Drosophila melanogaster: one gene and its partner. The gene in region 1 interacts genetically with each later gene. Each region holds a gene or a part of one and is shown on either strand. Other genes may lie near its edges.

The links. A genetic interaction does not mean that the proteins touch.
Region 2: of stwl (region 1) and brwl, changing one suppresses a phenotype caused by changing the other (phenotypic suppression), as found in Drosophila melanogaster (one study listed by BioGRID).

What each region holds. Positions count from the first base shown.
Region 1 is NT_037436.4:14,402,494-14,412,541, forward strand, and holds stwl (stonewall), read right to left. Parts: upstream 7,447-10,048; 5' UTR 7,270-7,446; coding exon 7,122-7,269; intron 6,354-7,121; exon of another isoform or gene 6,287-6,353; coding exon of another isoform or gene 6,253-6,286; intron 4,345-6,252; coding exon 1,379-4,344; 3' UTR 437-1,378; downstream 1-436. Other genes in the region: CG3868 (uncharacterized protein), read right to left, coding at 76-205; CG3919 (uncharacterized protein), read left to right, coding at 8,602-8,779, 9,007-9,317, 9,542-9,691, 9,763-10,048.
Region 2 is NT_033779.5:9,566,045-9,575,115, reverse strand, and holds brwl (brickwall), read right to left. Parts: upstream 6,227-9,071; 5' UTR 5,918-6,226; intron 4,846-5,917; exon of another isoform or gene 3,702-4,845; intron 3,640-3,701; 5' UTR 3,608-3,639; coding exon 3,363-3,607; intron 3,275-3,362; coding exon 3,222-3,274; intron 3,161-3,221; coding exon 2,151-3,160; 3' UTR 1,544-2,150; downstream 1-1,543. Other genes in the region: Mtpalpha (mitochondrial trifunctional protein alpha subunit), read left to right, coding at 1-647, 710-1,346.

The DNA.
Region 1 (10,048 bases):
GTCGTTCTATCCAAATGCTAAGCGTAATCCATCCAGCGAATTGTACCATCTGGTATAACTAATACTGTCTCTTACCTTCCATCTGGGGGAGATTATGGGTAGAATGGATCTCGTAGGCCACAAAGTGCCTAGTAGGTGTGCGTGGCACGATTCCACCGCTTACCAGCGGAAGGATGAGGAGGGCACAAATGGCAAAGAGTTTCATGGTGATGTCTCGAATTCGACTGAACCTCGCGGCCACTTGAAGAGAGGTTATATAGCTGCCTTATCTGGGCACTGACTCCCTTATTTACGGCCCATTCGCGGTAGACCTCTCCAGATTAGATTCCCAGCCAAATGTGCAAAAAGAACAGCATATTGAATGGTACTGGTACCTTGTAAATCTTTACCGGTGGTTCACCCAAAACGGGAAGTATTTCAATAACGTTGGAATTACGTTTGATCAAATTTGCAAATTTATTTTTTTATTCTATTTATAAATACAAGAAGGTTTTATGTTATTACTGAATTGTTATGTTTAGGCTTTTCTTAGCTGCGTCAGCGTTTTCATATCTAATCTTCTGTTATCGATGATGTGTTACTTCGTAGTTAGGTCCACGTATATATCCTGATAGTGGTAATTGCATCAGTTTGTGTGCTTTGGAACTGTTAATTCCACCGACTCACTGATGTATTGATAAAAACAATTTAATATTATTGATCAGTATCTAAATACTCTGAAGCTTTGGAAATACTCCAGAATCGGTACCCGAACCAAAGATATTGTCATAATTATTAGAATTAATTAATTTTCATAATTTTACTTATGTCTCTGCTAGAACAACGTCTGGAGCACCCACCCTCCAGTTTGGTTCACCAACCAAACTAATTTTCAAATTTTCGTGATGGTTGTTTCGCATAAATGTACTGCAATATATTTCACTACCTAACCAAAGACATTAGAATAATATTCTAGTGACTTTGACCTAACTATGTATAGAAATATATTTCCATAAAAACATATTTAAATATTTTTTCAGTTGTCCTTTTTGTTTAACTTATAAGGGCAATTTTTATTCGATATATATAACTAGAAAATGTGAAATAAAGTTAAGATTCGATTTCTCATTAATCATTTTTCTTGTGCAAATTTTGAACAAAACTGTCGGTTTTCTATCGTCTAAAAAATTATGAACAAAATAGAAAAAGTTAAAAACTTTTTCCAAAAAAAAAAAATTCGAAATTCTTAAAATTATAGGGAACTATAAAAAATGTTTAACGCAACATTATAAGTGCATTAGATAGCTTAACAATTTTTCAACGTGTTATTTACGATTTAATGAATCTGTCTTAATTCTTTACTCTTTAATCAATACTCGGAAATTTCTTTGGCCTGGTCTTAAACACCGAGTATGTCATTGTGATCCTCCGCGGGATCCACTGGCTCTCGCTTAAGGTTGTCCAGCGAAAAATCATCCGCAGCAATAGTGGCTGCTGTCTCCGAGGATTCAATTTTATTTCTCTGCACCGTCTGACTGGCCTGCTGAAGAAGGTCCTGAAAGGAGGTTTTGGTATTAGCCACCACCAAGCTGCGCTTCAGCGCCGAGGTAGGCGAACTTTCTTCGCCGTTTACAGAGGCCGTTGCAGCGGGCTTGGGCTGGGCAAAGTCATTGAAGGCAGATCCTTGCACACTGGCAATCTGCGGAGTTTTCTGAAGCAGGGAGGCACCGCCAGTGGGTGAGATTTGCTTTTGGTAAGCAGGAACGCAGCCCACAGACTTCCTCACTAGTAAACTGCTGCCTTGCGATGCAGTGGTCATTTGACTAGCACCTACGGCAGAATACCGAGGGCGTTGGGTAGGTGGCACCATTCCATGCCCAGCTGCTATCAATCGCCGCTTAAGCATAGACGCTTCCATAGCGCTAGCATTGGAGTTTATGGTGCTGCCATTGGCGGAACCTTGGCTAGCGTTTTGGGCATTGGGTGGATTGCTGCTACCGCACACGGAATACCTCCTGGACATGGCGCGGATATTCTCGGAGGCAGCTCCCTTGGCCGTCGTCGGTCCATTGCCTTGTCCAAAGAAACTGTTGATCAATGAACCCTGCGGCCTTATAGCAGCCACTACAGCAGCTCCTTTGGGACTGCCTGTTGGGGCGTGGTTGGCCACCTTGACCACACTATGGTTACTGTCAACACTATCCTTGCGCAAAATTTCCTGAGTGGCACTCAAGTTGCCATTCGGTTTACCACCCATAGCCGCTAACCTGAACAACCTCTTATCTAGTCCACCCGCCGGGCTGGTGGGGGCGATCTCTTGTCCAGTGCCTGGCTTGTATACCCTCTGAATGACTTGGCGTGTCATATTTGTTCGGGGTCCTCGCTGTACCTCAGGAGCAATTCCACTGCGGGAAGCTGTAGCTATAGCTGTAGCTTCTCCTGGCGGTCTAATTAGGGTAACCTTAGCCGCGCTCACCATGCTGACTAGCTCCCTGACCAATCGAAGTTCCGGATCTGTAATGTGCTCAAATCCTGAAGGAGTGTTTATATTAAAATGCTGCAGTTCTTTAGACGTTGGGAAATCGGTAGCATCATCAAAGGTTTCCATCAGCGCTTGGAATACTTTCTTCTTAAAGTGCATCTTCTGACGGGGGTTCATTTCCTGCATCTGGGGCTTGATCATTTCGAGAAAGTAATTATCGGAGAAAGGATTCTGGACTCCGGTTTGAGTGCCTCGCTCAGTCATTTTCAATTGGGTTATACTCTTTCCGACCGGAACGGATGTTCCAGCTGTGGTGGTTGTGGGTATATTAGTTATCACCGCACCAGAGGCACCAGTGGTGGCCTTGCTGCTGCTGCTGGTGCTAGATGAATTCGGACTGTAGCTTATTACATTAACGTTTTCAGTAGTTTTGATGCTGTTGTTACTGGTACCTTTGGTAATGGTATTAGTAGTAGCGGTGCTGCTGCTTATGCTAGTAACGACGTTGCTTTTGATAGCAATATTATTTATGTTACCACTCGCGACGGAGCTGGTGGGCTTGCCAATGGTCAGGACTTTGGTGTTTATGGGCGACTGTGGCTTGGTCTGCGTTTCCGGCGCAACTATTCGCTGCACCATAGGTAGCTTCTTGGGCGGCCTACCCACGGACCTCCTTTGTGGTGGACCAGATCCCTGCGGGTTAGCGATCGCTTCATCGGTCGTCGGAAAGATCAGCGTCTTCTGCTGTTGTTGAGTCTTGAGTTGGTTTTGATTTATATTCACAACTCCAGATGGCACCGCAGGTCTCGGGAAGATGTCATCCCGATGACTGATTTTCGTGATCTGGACTGGCCCGGATGGCGGCTTGTTGATCGGCTGAGACCTGGGGACTGGAGTCATTTTCACAGGCGATGTGGAGCTCCTTACACTGTGTACAGCCGCTAAACTCATAGATTTCCTGCGCTGCAATCGCGTCATTCGTTGTGCTTGGCCTGGTTTCTGGATCGGTAAATCCCTTATGCCAGCGAAACTTATTGATGCACGGGCTGCGCGACGTGGACGTCGGGTTGGAGAAGTAGTGTCGCTGCCTGTGACGCGTTTTTCACCATCCCTACCATATTCATCGCCACTATCTTCCATAGCCGTTTCCAGAGGATCCCCGGAAATAGATTTTGAAGCCTTGGATTCAGCAAACGAAGACGTCGAATTCTTTCTGCCAATAATTAGCAAACGAGGATCTCTGGTTTGCTTGACAAAGAACTCCGGCTGGCTAACAGTTGAGTCGGTGTTATTCTTCTCTAGAGACTTCTCCGGCGTTAACTCCTTTTCCTGATTCGATTGTTCCAAGTCAAAATCGAAACCTTCCAGATCTTCTAGGTGCTCCTCGTCCATGCACTCGTCGTCTTCATTATCAGACTGCAGAAAACTATCGAGTTCAGGAACCTTCTCTGGTTCGTCCGATTCCTCCAAATCATTCAGCTTCTCTTCAGCACTTTTCTTCCTAGATCGCTGTTTATCTCCAGGATTTTCCCAATTTTCTCTCTTGTCTTGGGACGATTTTTCCTTACGAACTTGACTTGCCAGCTTGACCTCCTTAACTAACTTGCTTGTCGATGATGCGCGTTCTTTTAATGACGCCTGAGCATGATGATCCACGCCCTCGCTGTCTCTATTGTTATCCCTGTCCTTGTCCGATGATACGCTGCGGTCATCGTCGGCAGCCATGTCGTCAGCTATGTTTAGATGGCGGTCCAAAAAGCGCAGCTCATCGGCCAGCGGATAAGCCAAACGACGCTGGCCATTTCGTCGCCGGTTGGCGTCGGCGTTGCACCAGCGGGTATAGTCATTTCGCAGCTGACGCCAGCGTCGCTTGCATTTTTCCACTGCAAGAGGGAACAAGAGGGAAATGATAAGGCTAGGTAAGAAGATATGATACGTAATATATATCAGGCAACAGGTAGCGGCCCAACCTTTACTTCTCAATAGCATAACACCCCCTGATTGCCCGGAAAATTCCACTTTAATCTTAGCTCATAAAACTTTGTGTGCATTTTACATGAACAGGTAATAAGAGCTCAGGAATGCTTATTAATAATGGGAAGAGACACTAGTTAAATTATTTTTAATTTCAAAAAACCAACATTGTACATGGTTCCGTAAATGCAAGTTTCGCTTGAAAGTATGCTATGTATGAATATCTAAATGAGTATAAATGAGTATTCGGTGGCGAGTACATGCACTGCAGTTTATATATAATTTTTTAGCTGCCTGAAGGTAGCAGTATTTAATAATTAAGCTATACATGTATGTAAATTTTTAAAAATAAAAATAAAAGCACTGCAGTGTGTAACTGCTAGTCACAAAATCGGGGCATCCAGTACGCACCGCGAACCCTGAATCACGGGTCCTACAACCCGGATGGCACATTACTTGTTTTTAATAAGAATACACTAGATCTTGGAAATATATATAAATTTTGGATTACATTTATTAAAATCGAAAAACTATATTTTCAATACCAACAGTCGGAAAATGATTAGCTAATTAATGGTCTTAATGGTCTAAATATGGTCTTCGGTATTAGATATTTCCATATTATTTTTTAATTGATCAAATTCGTATGGCTCTTTCCATTGGAGGAAGTGGCAAAATTGATTTGGAGTAATAGACAAGAAATTCTTAGCTTCTACGTGCCAAAACTGCTTCTTAGTTATCTGCCTTTATACTCGCCGATTAATATGGTTTGTAACAGTATGTAACTAACTACGCTGCGGAAGGTTATTTTCAATTACCGCGGCCAAAATCTGACAAAACTGACACATGAAATTTTGTGTTCGGTGCCATTTCAATTCTTGTCCTTGCATAAGGATAGTTCAAATAAAAATCGGGTCATAAAAAATAAGCTTTTTTCTAGCCAAACATAACAATTTTTTAAAGTGATAAAATAATATCAGCTATAACATATACAAGAAAAATTGTAGGAAATTACTTTATATTTTTAAGACAAAGCATTTTTGCAAAAAATTAATTTACAGTGCAATAAATCACCACAAAAACAAATAATAAGAGAATGAATAATGGAAGTGGGAAGCTTTATAATGCATATAGATATGGCATATAGATAGATATTGGGGAGTCAAATGAGAAAATTTTAAAAAAACTGTTCAAAAAGTCAATATAAATTTACAAAACTAATTAAAAATTATGAAAAAACAAACTTTCGCTGCGTCTAAGTCCCTTTAATCTATATGTTTAATTTGAACCTTTTTGTTTCTATAGTTCCTGAGATCGACCTTCATACCAGTTGCATACATACTTTGCAACGAATCCCTTCCAACGTATACCCTTTAAATCTACGAGTAAGGGGTATACAAATTAGAAGCGTCCATTTATCTGCATGACCATACATGACCATATATATTTATATAAATATATATATATGCAGATTTCCGACATACATACATGGGAACGTACATGGATGTACATATCATACATATTTATAAGGCGTGCAGGTTTCCGACGCCCAAACTTCTAAGATACGTTTTAATTTGTTAGTTAACAAAACCTGTAGACATTGCTGAAACACCCTTTATCTGATATCCAAACACATTACTTAAAAAATAGTTGTGTTAAGGAATCGTGTAAAGTTTAGTAAAAGGTGTCAGAAACCACGTGGAAATAATCGCAATCAAATTGAGAATCATACTTAAATATGTACATGCACGTGTGTATGTACATATGTACACTAAAAAGGATTTTTCTTTCTTTTGCGATATATAAATAAAACTTACAGCAAGAATTCTCGAATAAGAAGTCCCCCATCATTGGCAATATTTTTTCAGTTCTCAAATGAAAAAGAGCCAACTTATATTGTACTGCTCGAAAAGTTTGGCCAAAAGATCTTTCCAGGGAAATATATATGGGTCAATCGATATACACCGACAACAAAATCAGAGATGCATGGATAAATGGAACTACCCACTCATAATATACCAATATAATACAATATACCAATTTTCTAAGGTTAAATTTTACTCAGCTAATGGGCGATTAGTGTTACCAGTGTTACCAAAACGTGCAGAAGGATTCAAATCATTTAAAAAAAATTTATAAAGCTAATAAGAATTAAATGAAATGGATTTGGCTACTGAATAGACTAGATATTATTATTTGTCATATTTTGGTTTTTCTGTATTTAATTTATTTATTTTTAAATCCTTCTAAAATAATGTAATATTCAAATAAGACATTTTTTTAATATGAAATAACAAGCTTGTTGGAGAATTATAAATTATAAAATGTTAAATTAAAAAAATAATAATAACAACAAACGAAATAACTTTGTTTAGTTTTTACCATGCAATTATTGCAGTTGCCAAATAACTAATATAAATTACTTTCCAGCTATTTACAAAAATTATGTCACAGCAAGAAGCAATTTCATCCCAAACGACTACGCATTCAACAGGAGACTCGTTATATTCGAATTAATCGATGCCAGCTGCTTTGTGATGGCATACATGGCGCTGCCAACTCGCACACAACTATCGACGGCCGATAATTCGGGGACGACTGACTGTTGTGCGCGCGTTGACGCTGTGCAGCACTGGCAGAAAACTACGCAACGTCGATTGCTATCCCGCTCGCACTCACGACTCACCCGACTCTCCAACTTCGGAGGCAACCATGTCCCAGGCGTTCTCACTCGGCAGGCGCTTCCTATAGTTTTCGTCGGTACGATCATAAAGCGCAGTCTGCTTCTCCACTGACCGCAGCAACATCAGGTTCACCTCAGAGGCGGCGCTCATCGCTAGTTCACTTTGCAAGAATCCAATCGAGAGAGCTCGCTTCGCCAGGAATTTATCGGTTTTGTGTTATGCTACAAACGCAAACGCAATTCACACAATCACAACACACGCGCGCAGCAGCTGAGACTAAAAACGGCGACCGACTGCAGCGAAAACTAAAAGCGAGTATTGAGCACACACACACAGCCAAGTGAGAGTGTGAGCAGAGAGCGGCGCCTTGCGTTGCAGGGAAAAGCGAGTTGGCAGGCCGAACGGTCGTTGACGAGGGTTGACCAAGGTGGCCCCGGATAAATTTATTTTTTACCTGTCGGGCTAGACTATAATATTTTTTTACGTTTATAAATAATGTTTTTTACGCGTTGTTCATAATTCTCAAAACCGCTCAACCTTGTTTTCCAGTTTCTCTAAGATTTGTTAGCATTTATCTTAAAATAAAATAACTTCATTTGACAGCCAATACAAATATGAAATATTTTATTTTGTACATTAATTTAACCAAAATCGTAATATTCTTGAATAATTTTTATAATTTACAACATTTAGGGGTGGTCATTAATTAATTGGTAAATGCGTTGGCAGCACCTCCAGCGATCAAATGGCACTGCCAACACCAACTGCTATACTATTGCATTAAGTCTGGCAGTGCTGTCTACTTTGAGTGAGTGTGCCTTTCATTGTATGTGTGAGATCCAGTGGCATGTCAATTCTCTCTCAGAGAGGGTTGTATGCTGCTCGAATGGTAACCCCCGCTGATTTGCGAAGAGAATGACTACGCCTCTGGCTTTCCGTTTGTTGTGGCTCCTTTCTTTATTTATTTTGCCGGTGTTTTATATTCTCCGCCCGTTAAAGATTCAAATGTCCAATTCGAATCAGTCTAGTGCTCATGTGCTTTAAAATCAAGAACAATTGCTATTTGAAATTGCAACATTCATTTACAACTGCATCACTTGTTGGCAGCAGCACGAAATCGCAGTGTTCAAAGTTGCTAAACACTTGTAATAGCAGCAACTCCGGCGTCCACGCCAACAACTGCCGCGTGCACGGAAGCAACGAGCGGCTTGAGCCCGAACTTAATAAGCCAAAACTCGTGATAAAAGCACTGACATCGATTAATTGGAGCATTTTTAAACCTAATTCACGTAAGTTTAAACGAAAGATCTGGTTTCAGAGAAAATAACTGTTGTTGAAAGCGGAGCAGAGAAGCAAAGTAGCGGCAAACAGCTGTTGCACGGTCAGGCGACACATGTTTCAGATTCGATTTCGGGTCTTCTACTTTAACTCTATTAATTATATTAATTAATTAAATTTGCATATTTAGTTTTTATATATGAAATGAATACACGCCGTCGGTCCATAGCTCCACCACCGAACGTTTACGCCATCAATGCCAAAATATGTCATTTGGTGAAACTACATCCTTGTCTTTACGATCGTCACGATGACAACTACTTGCGGAAATCGACTGTGAAAAATGCGTGGAAGGAAATATCCAATGAGATGCGAAATTCGGGTGGGTTTTTATCTATATTTCGACATATTGCATATTAACTAAATTTACTTTAATTATTAAATTTACATTTCATTAGGAGATGTTTATATTTTTATAAGCACGATTTTACTATGTCGATACATAATATAAAATAAAATATAATCTCTTATAAAATCTTACAATTTATATTATATAAATATTATATAATATTATCTTACAATCTTATTGACTGCTATTGATCATTTCAGTTAAAAGCTGCAAGGAACGTTGGCGCAACATTCGCTCCAGCTATGCCCGCTCAATAAAGTTGCATCACGGTGCGAATACGTACTATCTTAACAGCGAGCTGAAGTTCCTGCAAAAGCACATCACTCCCGGAGTGCCCGTTCCGCTCAGAGGTCGTAGGTCAAGACCCAAGGGACAGGAGGAGCACGACGAAGGGGATCCCGAAACTCCCGTAGAGGCAATCCTCGAGATGGTGCACTCCCCGAGCTTTCTGAATTCGGAGCATGCGCAGAGCCGTCACAGCACCGACCCTGCATCGGCGACGGACGTTGAGGTGGGAGCAATACTCAGATGCATTTTGCTGAGGCCTTAAATTATTACAACCTTGTTTAGCGTTATGAACTATACTTTAAAGTAAAAAAATGATGTATGCTATATTTTTGGTCAAAAGTTAAAGCTGTGCAAATTAGCTTAGTTTTATACTGTGTGCCCGTTTTTATTTCAAAGCTGAAATTTGCATTTATAATTTTAATGATGCAGTTTCCTTTAATTCTTCAGGCAACACAATTTAATAATGAACCATCATCAATCATGGATTTCGAGGACACGGTCCCGGCAGAAATGCGCACAGAGAGCGACAGCAGTGAGAAGGAGGCCAAGGTGGGAGAAATTACTTTATATAGAGTGCCATTGCTTGAATTCCCCAAAGTAACAATCTATTAAGTGCAAAATTTAATTTGTACAGCGTTTATTTATGATTTGTTATTTTCTTATTTCAGACATCAACCCGCTGTATTGAAGCATTGCCAATCATGGATTTCGATGACGCATTCCTGCAGGGACTGCGTCCCGAAATCAAGCACATGAACTTCCACCAGAAGCTGTACTTCAAGCGACGTGTGTACGACCTGCTTGGCGAGATATTCCATTCCGAGCAGTCAGCCTCATCAACCCACCCAGCGCAGCCGCATCCCAGGGAGAATGTCAATGGAACGCTATCCACTACCTCGAGTCTCTCCTCGGCGAATCCACTACAGCACATGGGACTTATGCTGCAGCTGCCAA
Region 2 (9,071 bases), on another chromosome or scaffold:
GGACAAACGGAGTGCAAGAAGAACCGATTTGGCAAGCCAGAGCGTCCGGTTAAGACTGTGGGTGTGCTGGGAGCTGGTCTGATGGGCGCCGGTATTGTACAGGTCTCCGTCGATAAGGGATATCAGGTGGTGATGAAGGATGCCACCGAAGCCGGCCTGGCTCGTGGTATTGGACAAGTGCAGAAGGGTTTGGAGACGGCTGTGAAGCGCAAGCGAATCTCTGCACTGGAGCGCGATCAGACTCTTGCCAGTCTGCGGCCCACTCTTGATTACAGCGACTTCAAGAACGCAGACATCATCATCGAAGCTGTTTTCGAGGACATCAAGGTTAAGCATCGAGTGATCAAGGAGCTGGAAGCAGTGGTTCCAGAGCACTGCGTCATTGCCACCAACACCAGCGCCATTCCCATCACCAAGATTGCTGCTGGAAGCTCGCGTCCCGAGAAGGTTGTTGGCATGCACTACTTCTCGCCCGTGGACAAGATGCAGCTGCTGGAAATCATCACTCACCCAGGAACCTCCAAGGACACCATCGCACAGGCCGTGGCCGTCGGTCTCAAGCAAGGCAAGGTCGTTATCACTGTTGGTGACGGACCTGGCTTCTATACCACCCGCATCCTCTCCACCATGCTGTCGGAAGCCATCAGGTAGGTTTGCATTTTAAGATGACTAGTGAAATTGTTTATTATACTCCCATATTTTATGTCAGACTGCTGCAGGAAGGCGTGGACCCCAAGGATCTGGACCAATACACGAAGAAGTTTGGCTTCCCCGTGGGTGCTGCGACCCTTGCGGATGAGGTTGGCATTGACGTGGGTTCCCACATTGCCGTCGACTTGGCAAAGGCATTCGGCGAACGTTTCAGCGGTGGAAACTTGGAAGTAATGAATGATCTGGTCCTGGCTGGTTTCCTCGGACGCAAGTCCGGCAAGGGTATCTTCCTGTACGATGGCCAGAAGAGGGGCACTCGTCCAGTGAACAACGATGCTCTCGAAATCGTGAAACAAAAGTACGCTTTAGTCTCAAAGGGAGCCAATGCCCCCGAGGATCTGACGCTGCGTATGGTATCCCGCTTCATCAACGAAGCCGTGCTCTGTCTGGAGGAGAAGATTCTGGACAGTCCGCTGGAGGGCGATGTCGGAGCCGTGTTCGGCCTGGGCTTCCCGCCATTCTCCGGTGGTCCCTTCCGCTGGGTCGATCAGTATGGAGCCGGCAAACTGGTCAGCAAGATGCAATCCTATGCTGAGCTGTACGGAGCTCCCTTCAAGCCCGCTCAGACCCTGCTCGACATGGCTAAGGACCCGTCGAAGAAGTTCTACCCCAAGACTGGCTCCTCGAAGTTGTAGATCCGATCCAATCCGATCCCAGCCTCCGTAGAGCCGCTAACGAAATTTAGCTTTTAGTGCGAAGATAAGTCGTGTCCTTGTGCATTTCTCTCAGAAAGGAAACCTATTGTGGTCCATCGCTGCCTAAAAAATGGGGCAAGGCCCAATAAAAAGCCCTCTGTTGAAGTTGTCGACAATTAAATTAAAGTTTACCGTGTAATTTTCCATACTTTCATTTGTTTATTATTACACACAGCAGTTTGATATCGATCTATCTCTTTATCCCTCTTTGTTTACTCAAACGGAAATTCATTTGTACACAGATTCTATAGTTTAGGTTTCAATAGCAGCGTATATACAGTGTCCTTAAACTAACATATTTTCGAAGCAGCCATTTTCTAAAATCTTGAAATCTATTTTCACAATTCCTTAACTGCTACGTCAGAACTAAATGGCTTATAAGGAGACCTCATTACTTCTTGTTCGTTGAATGTGTTCGATTTCGGAATAGCTTTAAATGTATATATTAGTTGTTCATATATATATGTATATATTTGGTCATGCAAGTTCTTGCAGCTCTTTGTAAATGGACCATTCATAATGGTTGGTCAAAATCGAAACAATTCGCGGACTTGAAAGAATTGAAGGCCTTTGAAAACATACCCATCTTATTGAGTAGACACAACACATTAACAGTGAGCGGACTGAAGTAGCTCAGATTCGAATTAGTACCCATTCCAGCTTCAGATCCCCCTTAAGCTTCTAACTAAACTTATCCTATCCCTAGTTAAGGATTAGTGACTTTCCGATACACTTTCTATTCCTTTATTGTTTCCTCCAATCGCGTCCAGAGCTGCGCCTTTGATGCTTAACAGATCCCCCATTGCTGCTACCGCCACTTCCGTTGACTACGCCAGATACGCCTCCTCCGTTGCTGTGATCCTGGGCGGGATATCGGGTTACAACGTCGTCAATTAGCTCCAGAATGCCAATCTTGAACTTGCGACGTTGCTGTGGAGTGAGAGTCGCCAGATCTGGGAGAATGCTGCGGAAGAACTCCATGTCCGCCACTTCCGACGAACTCAGTCCGCCGTAAATACTTCCTGCATTCGTCATCGTGCTGGTGGCCTCGCATTCCGTCTTGATTCTTTTCGTGCTCCCCGGTTCGTAGGATGCTGGGTGATGATCCATGGACAATGTCAAAGGATGTGGATGCGAGTGCGGATGGTAGTGCAGAGGCGGTGGTGTGCCATGTCCACCATCGCTGTAGATGAGTTGCGAGCCCGTCTCGGCCAGCTGCACATCTGGAATGAAGTTTTTCATGCTATCCGCACTAGCGGTATCGCTTCTGGCCGGTGAATTGCCTCCGCCTCCTTGAAGGGCAGAACTGCGAGTGGGCGTGGACGAAGTACGATTCATACCCAGGGTGTTGGTAACCGCGGGATCAAAGGCGTCGATGGTCTCCTCATCGTCCTTCTCCGATATCGAGTACTTCATCTCCAAGACCTCCATACTCTCACCATTATGGACGTCGTTGTTATTATTATTATTATTGATGCTAGTGTTGGCGCAGTACTTGTGCTCCTCGGTCGCATGGAGTGCTGGATGCAGGAGAAATGGTTGATGCTGCAAATGCTGCTGGGACATCTGGTACAGAGTGGCCAGACTGTTGTTCCCCTCCAAAGAGTTACGGCTGGACTTCAGGAAGGGCAGCAGGAACGCCATGTGCTCGGTCAGGTAGTATGGCTTGTGCTGCGGCTCCGATCCGGATTGCTGCTTTATGTAGCGGGATAGGCAGGCCCGAAGGTTTCGCCATCGCTCCTTGCAATGGATCACTAAAGATTATGAAAGTTCTGATTAATTTAAGGGATTAATGTTTTTCCTATTATTGCTTACCGCTTTCTCTTGTCTCCTTTGAAATAAGCACCCAAGCCTTTTCCTGATTATCCCTGTAAAAAGTTATTTAAATTAGTTAAGACTGAACGTACGGAACGATCTGGATCGTATCTTCTGGCAGCCGATGGACTCGCCACTCACCTGTTGCGGTACTCGGGCACCTTCTTGTCGTAGAGACACTTGTGGGTGCGCACCAGGTTGACGAAGCGGATGTTGAAGTCCTCGTCCGCCTGCATCACTCGGTTGGTGGATCCAATAGAGGCGCCTGCTGTTCCGGATCCCGAACCCGTTGGACTGTGGTGGTTGTAGGCGGTGGTGCCGTTGGAGGTTCGCTCCTCGTGCTCGCTGCTGTGGTTGTTGCTGCTGCTGCGGGTTGAGGTGGTCATATTCGTTGGCGGTATCGTCCCTCACAGAGCCACTAAAAGATACGTTTTAAATTTGAAGTCTATTTAGAGAAATGTTAAAATAAACAGCGATTACCAGGGGTTTGAACGGGTTTGCTGTCATGTTGCACGTTATGATCTCAAGAAATGGCAACTTCAAGTTAAGTTAGCCACTCCAATATTTGATTTTTAGACTTTCCTATCGATGTATGTATGTACCATACATACATATGTATTTATATACAATCCTATTTATTTTTGAGCTGGCAAACAAACAGAATTCTCAACGACTCTTTTTCAGCTTTTTTGCCTTTTCTGCTGGGGTTTTGTGTTCGGTTTCTTTTCGTTTTGTCGTGTTATTTGTTTGTGTGTTGGTTTCTGTTCAGTTCGGTTCAGTTGTGTTCTGTTCAGTTCTGTTCCGCTGTCTGTTGCTGCTGTCTCAGCAAACGAGGCATAGAGCTTTTCGCTCATATATATTTCGTGAAACTTAATAAAACATTGTTGTAGCCGTGGCCGTTGTTGTCGTTGTAGTTGTAGTTGTAGCTGTAGTTGCCATTATATTCAGTACAGTTTGGCTAGCTGGATAGGATAGGAAAGCATTGCGTTGCGTTGATGTTGACAACTCGGCGGCGAAACGACGACAGCCAGCAACTTTGTTTACTTTTCATATTATTATAGCCACAGCAGCGACAATGGCAGCGGCCATAAAAATAACAGGCAATCTGGCTGTTTGTGCTGCTTGTTTGTGTTTTTGTTGCCGTTTGTTTCTGTTGCTGTTGCTGCTGGCGTCGAAAGCTGAAAGCTTTTGTCTGCTTCACTGATAACAGCAACAACAGCACAACTAAAGCAGCAGCAACAAAACAACAGTAACAACAACAACAGAATGCTTCAGCAACAACAGCAACACTCTGCTGCAGCAGCAGCAATTCAGTGCAGCAAGCAATGTTGTGTTGCAATATCCGAAAACATGTTGGCCAAAACCAAATCCGCTGAATAGTCACGAATATGTGTGCGAGTACCCACCGCACTCACTGCTCACTACTTGCAAACGATTCGCTCTCGCACCTGCGACTACCTGTTTCGATTCTAATCAGCCCACTCCACCTGTCCATTCACTCGACTGCCTACCCTTTTGCCGTCAGCCCCTTTCTATCGCGGCGACACTTGGGCCGCTCTTAAATCTCCGACAGTTTTCCCGCCACTTTCAGCACCTTTTGGGCCCACCAGTTTTGCAAAGCGAAAAACGTGCGCACAGTGGGATGGAAGTAATCGAAAAAGGGCATTACCAAAAGTATATCAAGGAAAAATATAATAACAATTTCCACATTGCTTGGAAACCTATTAGATGGTATTTTATATGTATATATATATTTTTTGGACATCTGTAAGTAAATCTCTGGAAAATCGTAGGTAATAATTCCCTTCAACTATTAATCTTAATATCAGGTTCAGAGTCCAATAAGTTTTCTATTTTTTCGGACATAAAAAAGTAGCAAGAGAAAACTCTAGCACTCTAAGCTGAACCAAACAAAAAATTAATATTGCTTTCCATTTTCGTAACACTTTGGTCCCACTGTGCGCTGGCAGCATTGTTGTGTTCTTTGGCCAGTCATCATTATTATCAGCGAACATCATTATCAAGGCGAACGTTGCTCGCGTGTTTTGGCTCTGCCCGTTGTTGTTTTTGTTAATGTTATTGTTGGATTGCTGTGTGCGGTGTGGGCGGGGGGAAAATGGAATGGAATGGGAATGGCGACTGGAAGGGGCAGAAAAACAACTAACCTGGGCTATATGGCAATATTTATTGTATTACGTCTATTTAACATAAACATATCAGCATGAGCGCGTACTAATTCCTTGAGAAATGTTCATGTTTATCTATTAACAACGGGGCTCAGCAAAAAGTACAGCAACGTACAAATCGAAAAACACAGAATCAGCAACAGCCAAACACAAAACCCAACGGAAAACAAAAACAACAACAAAAAAAAAGAATTTATTTCTAAAGCTAACAAAACACAGAAAACTTGCAGAAATACCCGGCCCGCTCTTTGTTTCCCTCCACCAACAAAAATACATACAGTATATTGTATATTCCGTGGCCCAATGACAGCAACAACAACAATCGCAATAACTTTGTTAGATAGACAACAACAACAACAACAATACACACAATACACACACACATTCACAGGCAATCGCACACAAGGAAACAATATGGCATATAGAATTTTTCTTTCTGCTGCTTATCAGGCTGTTATTGTTGCTGTTGTTCCTAACTTGTGATGTTGTTCCAAGCAAAGAATTCATTACCTTTTGGTTGGTATTCGTCGTTGGATTACAGAAAAACTCCTGTTGCAGAGGCGATTTCAAAACGCAACAACTCCTTGCTCGCAGCGATTTCAAAACGACACGATGCACGGCACACAAATAAAACGGCGCCAAAAATATTTTTGTTGCTGCTGCTGCTGCAGCGACCGACGACTGACGTAACGTTCAAAAATGTTGAATTCGAAAACTCGCGGTCGAGTCGACGGTGCACGGCGCTCGGGAATCGGCGGCGGACTGTTGGATTGTTGGCAATGTCGTATGTTTCGCGTACCAAGCGACCAAGGCGACTAAGCACACAGAGAAAAACACACAGACACAGCCACAAATGCGACTGCTGCCCTGCGAGAGCGAGCGGTGCACTGAGAGAAATAGAGTTGTCACTTGGCAATTGTGAAATGTAATATAAAGATGTTTTAAATTGGTAATGTATTATTAGCCCCAAACTTAATTAAAGGGAAAAATATAAAATTATTTGCAGACTTTATTAATGATCCATGTAAGCGGTATTAATTTAATAGTTATGAGGTTCAAACAAGTACCAATTAAACACGTATTCCCTCAGTGTATCAACCAGTATCTATCGGCTACGTAGAACACTGAAGCAACAGCAACAACATGACACGAGTGGACGGCGAGCAAACAGAGAACAACGCACACTCTCCGCCGCACACACACAGATACTAACACGGACACACACCAATGCGCCAATACAAACACACACAGCTGGCTGCTCAACAGCAGGGAACTTTTTATTGTTGTTGCTGGCAACGAACAACAAATAAGACAAACAATGCACACGCACACGAATGACGAGTGTTTTCGAGTCGGAGAAACGGCAACTGCGCGGTACGAAATGCAAAGATACAGATACAATGAGTTGGTTGTCGGTTGTGGAGGGTAGGAAAGGGACACAGGCCAACAAAAATAGTTGCACTGCATCAAGAGTGTTGCCTGTCGTTAGAGGCTAGTCACCCACCCCGAAAGGATCTCTCAAAGGATCAGCGGACTACTAGGTAATCCTGATCGAAATCGATTGATTCAAATGGATTTTCAAAAGATATATCATGTTCAAGATCTTTTTGTTGGGCAATACAATTTTTACATATGTATGTTGATTGTTATGTTGAATATAACTTCAGGCTTATTATTACTGTCTAATGGTAATGTTTCTATTTATTTCCACGTCCATTAACATGTATAATTGGTTTTCCCCAAAATATGTTAGTGAACAGGTGACAGTCGCAAATAGAAAATACACATTTTTTACGCTGTAACTCTGACAAAAAAAATAAAACACAGGAACCCAAATAGTTTACCTGAAAACTTACCTGCGAATTTCCAGTGATCATAATTCCATTGTGCGCTTCTTCTTCTTCTTTGCTCTAACTCTCAGGGAACATTGAAACAACAACAGTTGCTTACTCAGCACCGCACACAAACATAAACTGCGCTCTCACGGACACTACAACAGCTGTCGCTCTCAGAACCAACAACAAAGCGAGCAAACAAAAATCATGTTGTTGTTGCTCACAAAGCTTTGCAATTTCTCTGCCGCTAACATCGCTGCTTTTGTGTAGTTGTTGCTGCCGCCCGAGTTGCCAACAAGCTTTCCAACAACATTTGTTTACATTTCAAATTTATTAGGCGAGCTTTTCGGACATTTGAACAAGCTTCGTGGGCTACTCGCTAGGTGGCGCATGCTACTTCCGGTATAGATTTGAACAGCTATTTTTTTTAATTTACTTCAGAAATAAAATAAGCATTTATGCATATTTAAATATAAATAGATAAATATACCTGTTTCAGTTTCGTTAGAATGCACAATTTACTCTTGACTAAATGACTTCCGAGCAAACAAAATATTTAAACAATATTGTTAATAAAAAATAAGAAATGATTACTTAAGCTCTTACGTTTCCCTCCAACGGTCATTTGATATGTCATTATCCAAACACTCATATTGTTATTCACACGCGAAAAGCTCGACAAAGCTCAAAAGGACTCACTCCTTAGGCCAAAACTGTCAGGGTTTATGTATTCCGCCTGACAGCAGACCACCAACCCAGTTATTTCCAGCACTTTAACGATTTGTTTACAACTTTGTTGCCCTGCAATTTACCGCTAGCATACGGACCTGCCAGCCAGCCCAGCTTTTCACCCCTTTCCGACCGCTTGGAAAAGCTTTTCTCGGCGGGCAGGATGTCTTGTCCTGCGTGTGCTCAAAAATTCAATAAAAAGGAGGCTCGTTTCTGTTGTGGCCTACATGCCACAGCAAGGACGAGCAATCGGTTACCGAGCCGAACGCGGCCCGAGGAAAACTTGGTCACCGGGTGGGTAATGGGAAATGGAAAAGGGCCGAAAATGGGGGCGGGTGGCGAAGCAAGGAGCAAGGAGAGAGCTTCCAAGTGCAGCGGAGCTCAGTTGCCATAGGACAGTCGAGGCGAGTGCTCGTCCTTGGTCGCAACGGGCTCCCGGAAAAGCGGTCCATCGGCTGTCGAGTGTCATTGTTTTGGTTACGCGACTGCCCCGCTAGTGTTGGTGACCATCTGTGTGCGCTTAAAAATATATTCGACATGAATTATTTACGCAAAACGAGTGCTGGAAAGTTTTGAAAAGTGCGGAGAACGAGTGCGGAGTTGAGTAAGCGGAAAGTTTTGACTCGAAGAACACTTTGTCTGACAATTTGCAGCGGCATCAAGGATGCAGTCTCCTTTGCACTGGGATGAAGAATGCATTTTCCGAAGCGCAGTATGTGACTCTTTCTCTTTTCAGTGAAAAACCCCCCTCCATTTTCGCGCTCTGTCGCTCTCTCTCTCTCTCCCGCTCGCTTCCTATTGTTTTTCTCAGAGTGTAGAGTTTCGATTTCGTTAGAAAATCGAAACAAAAGCGAACCAGGCTCTCGAGGAATTGTGGGAGTCGTTGCTGCGGCTACCTGTAGATGCCACATAAACACACACAGATACGAGCGCAAGGATGCGAGTGTGTGCGAGTCCTTGAACGAGGCTTTCGGTTGCCCACCCACATGCCACATCCGTATCCGTATCCATGTCCATGGCTGCCTTTCACTGCCCGCTTCCGACTCTAATTAACTTATGATTCAAGGTCCAATACGCTGCCACTGAAGGTTAAACATGAC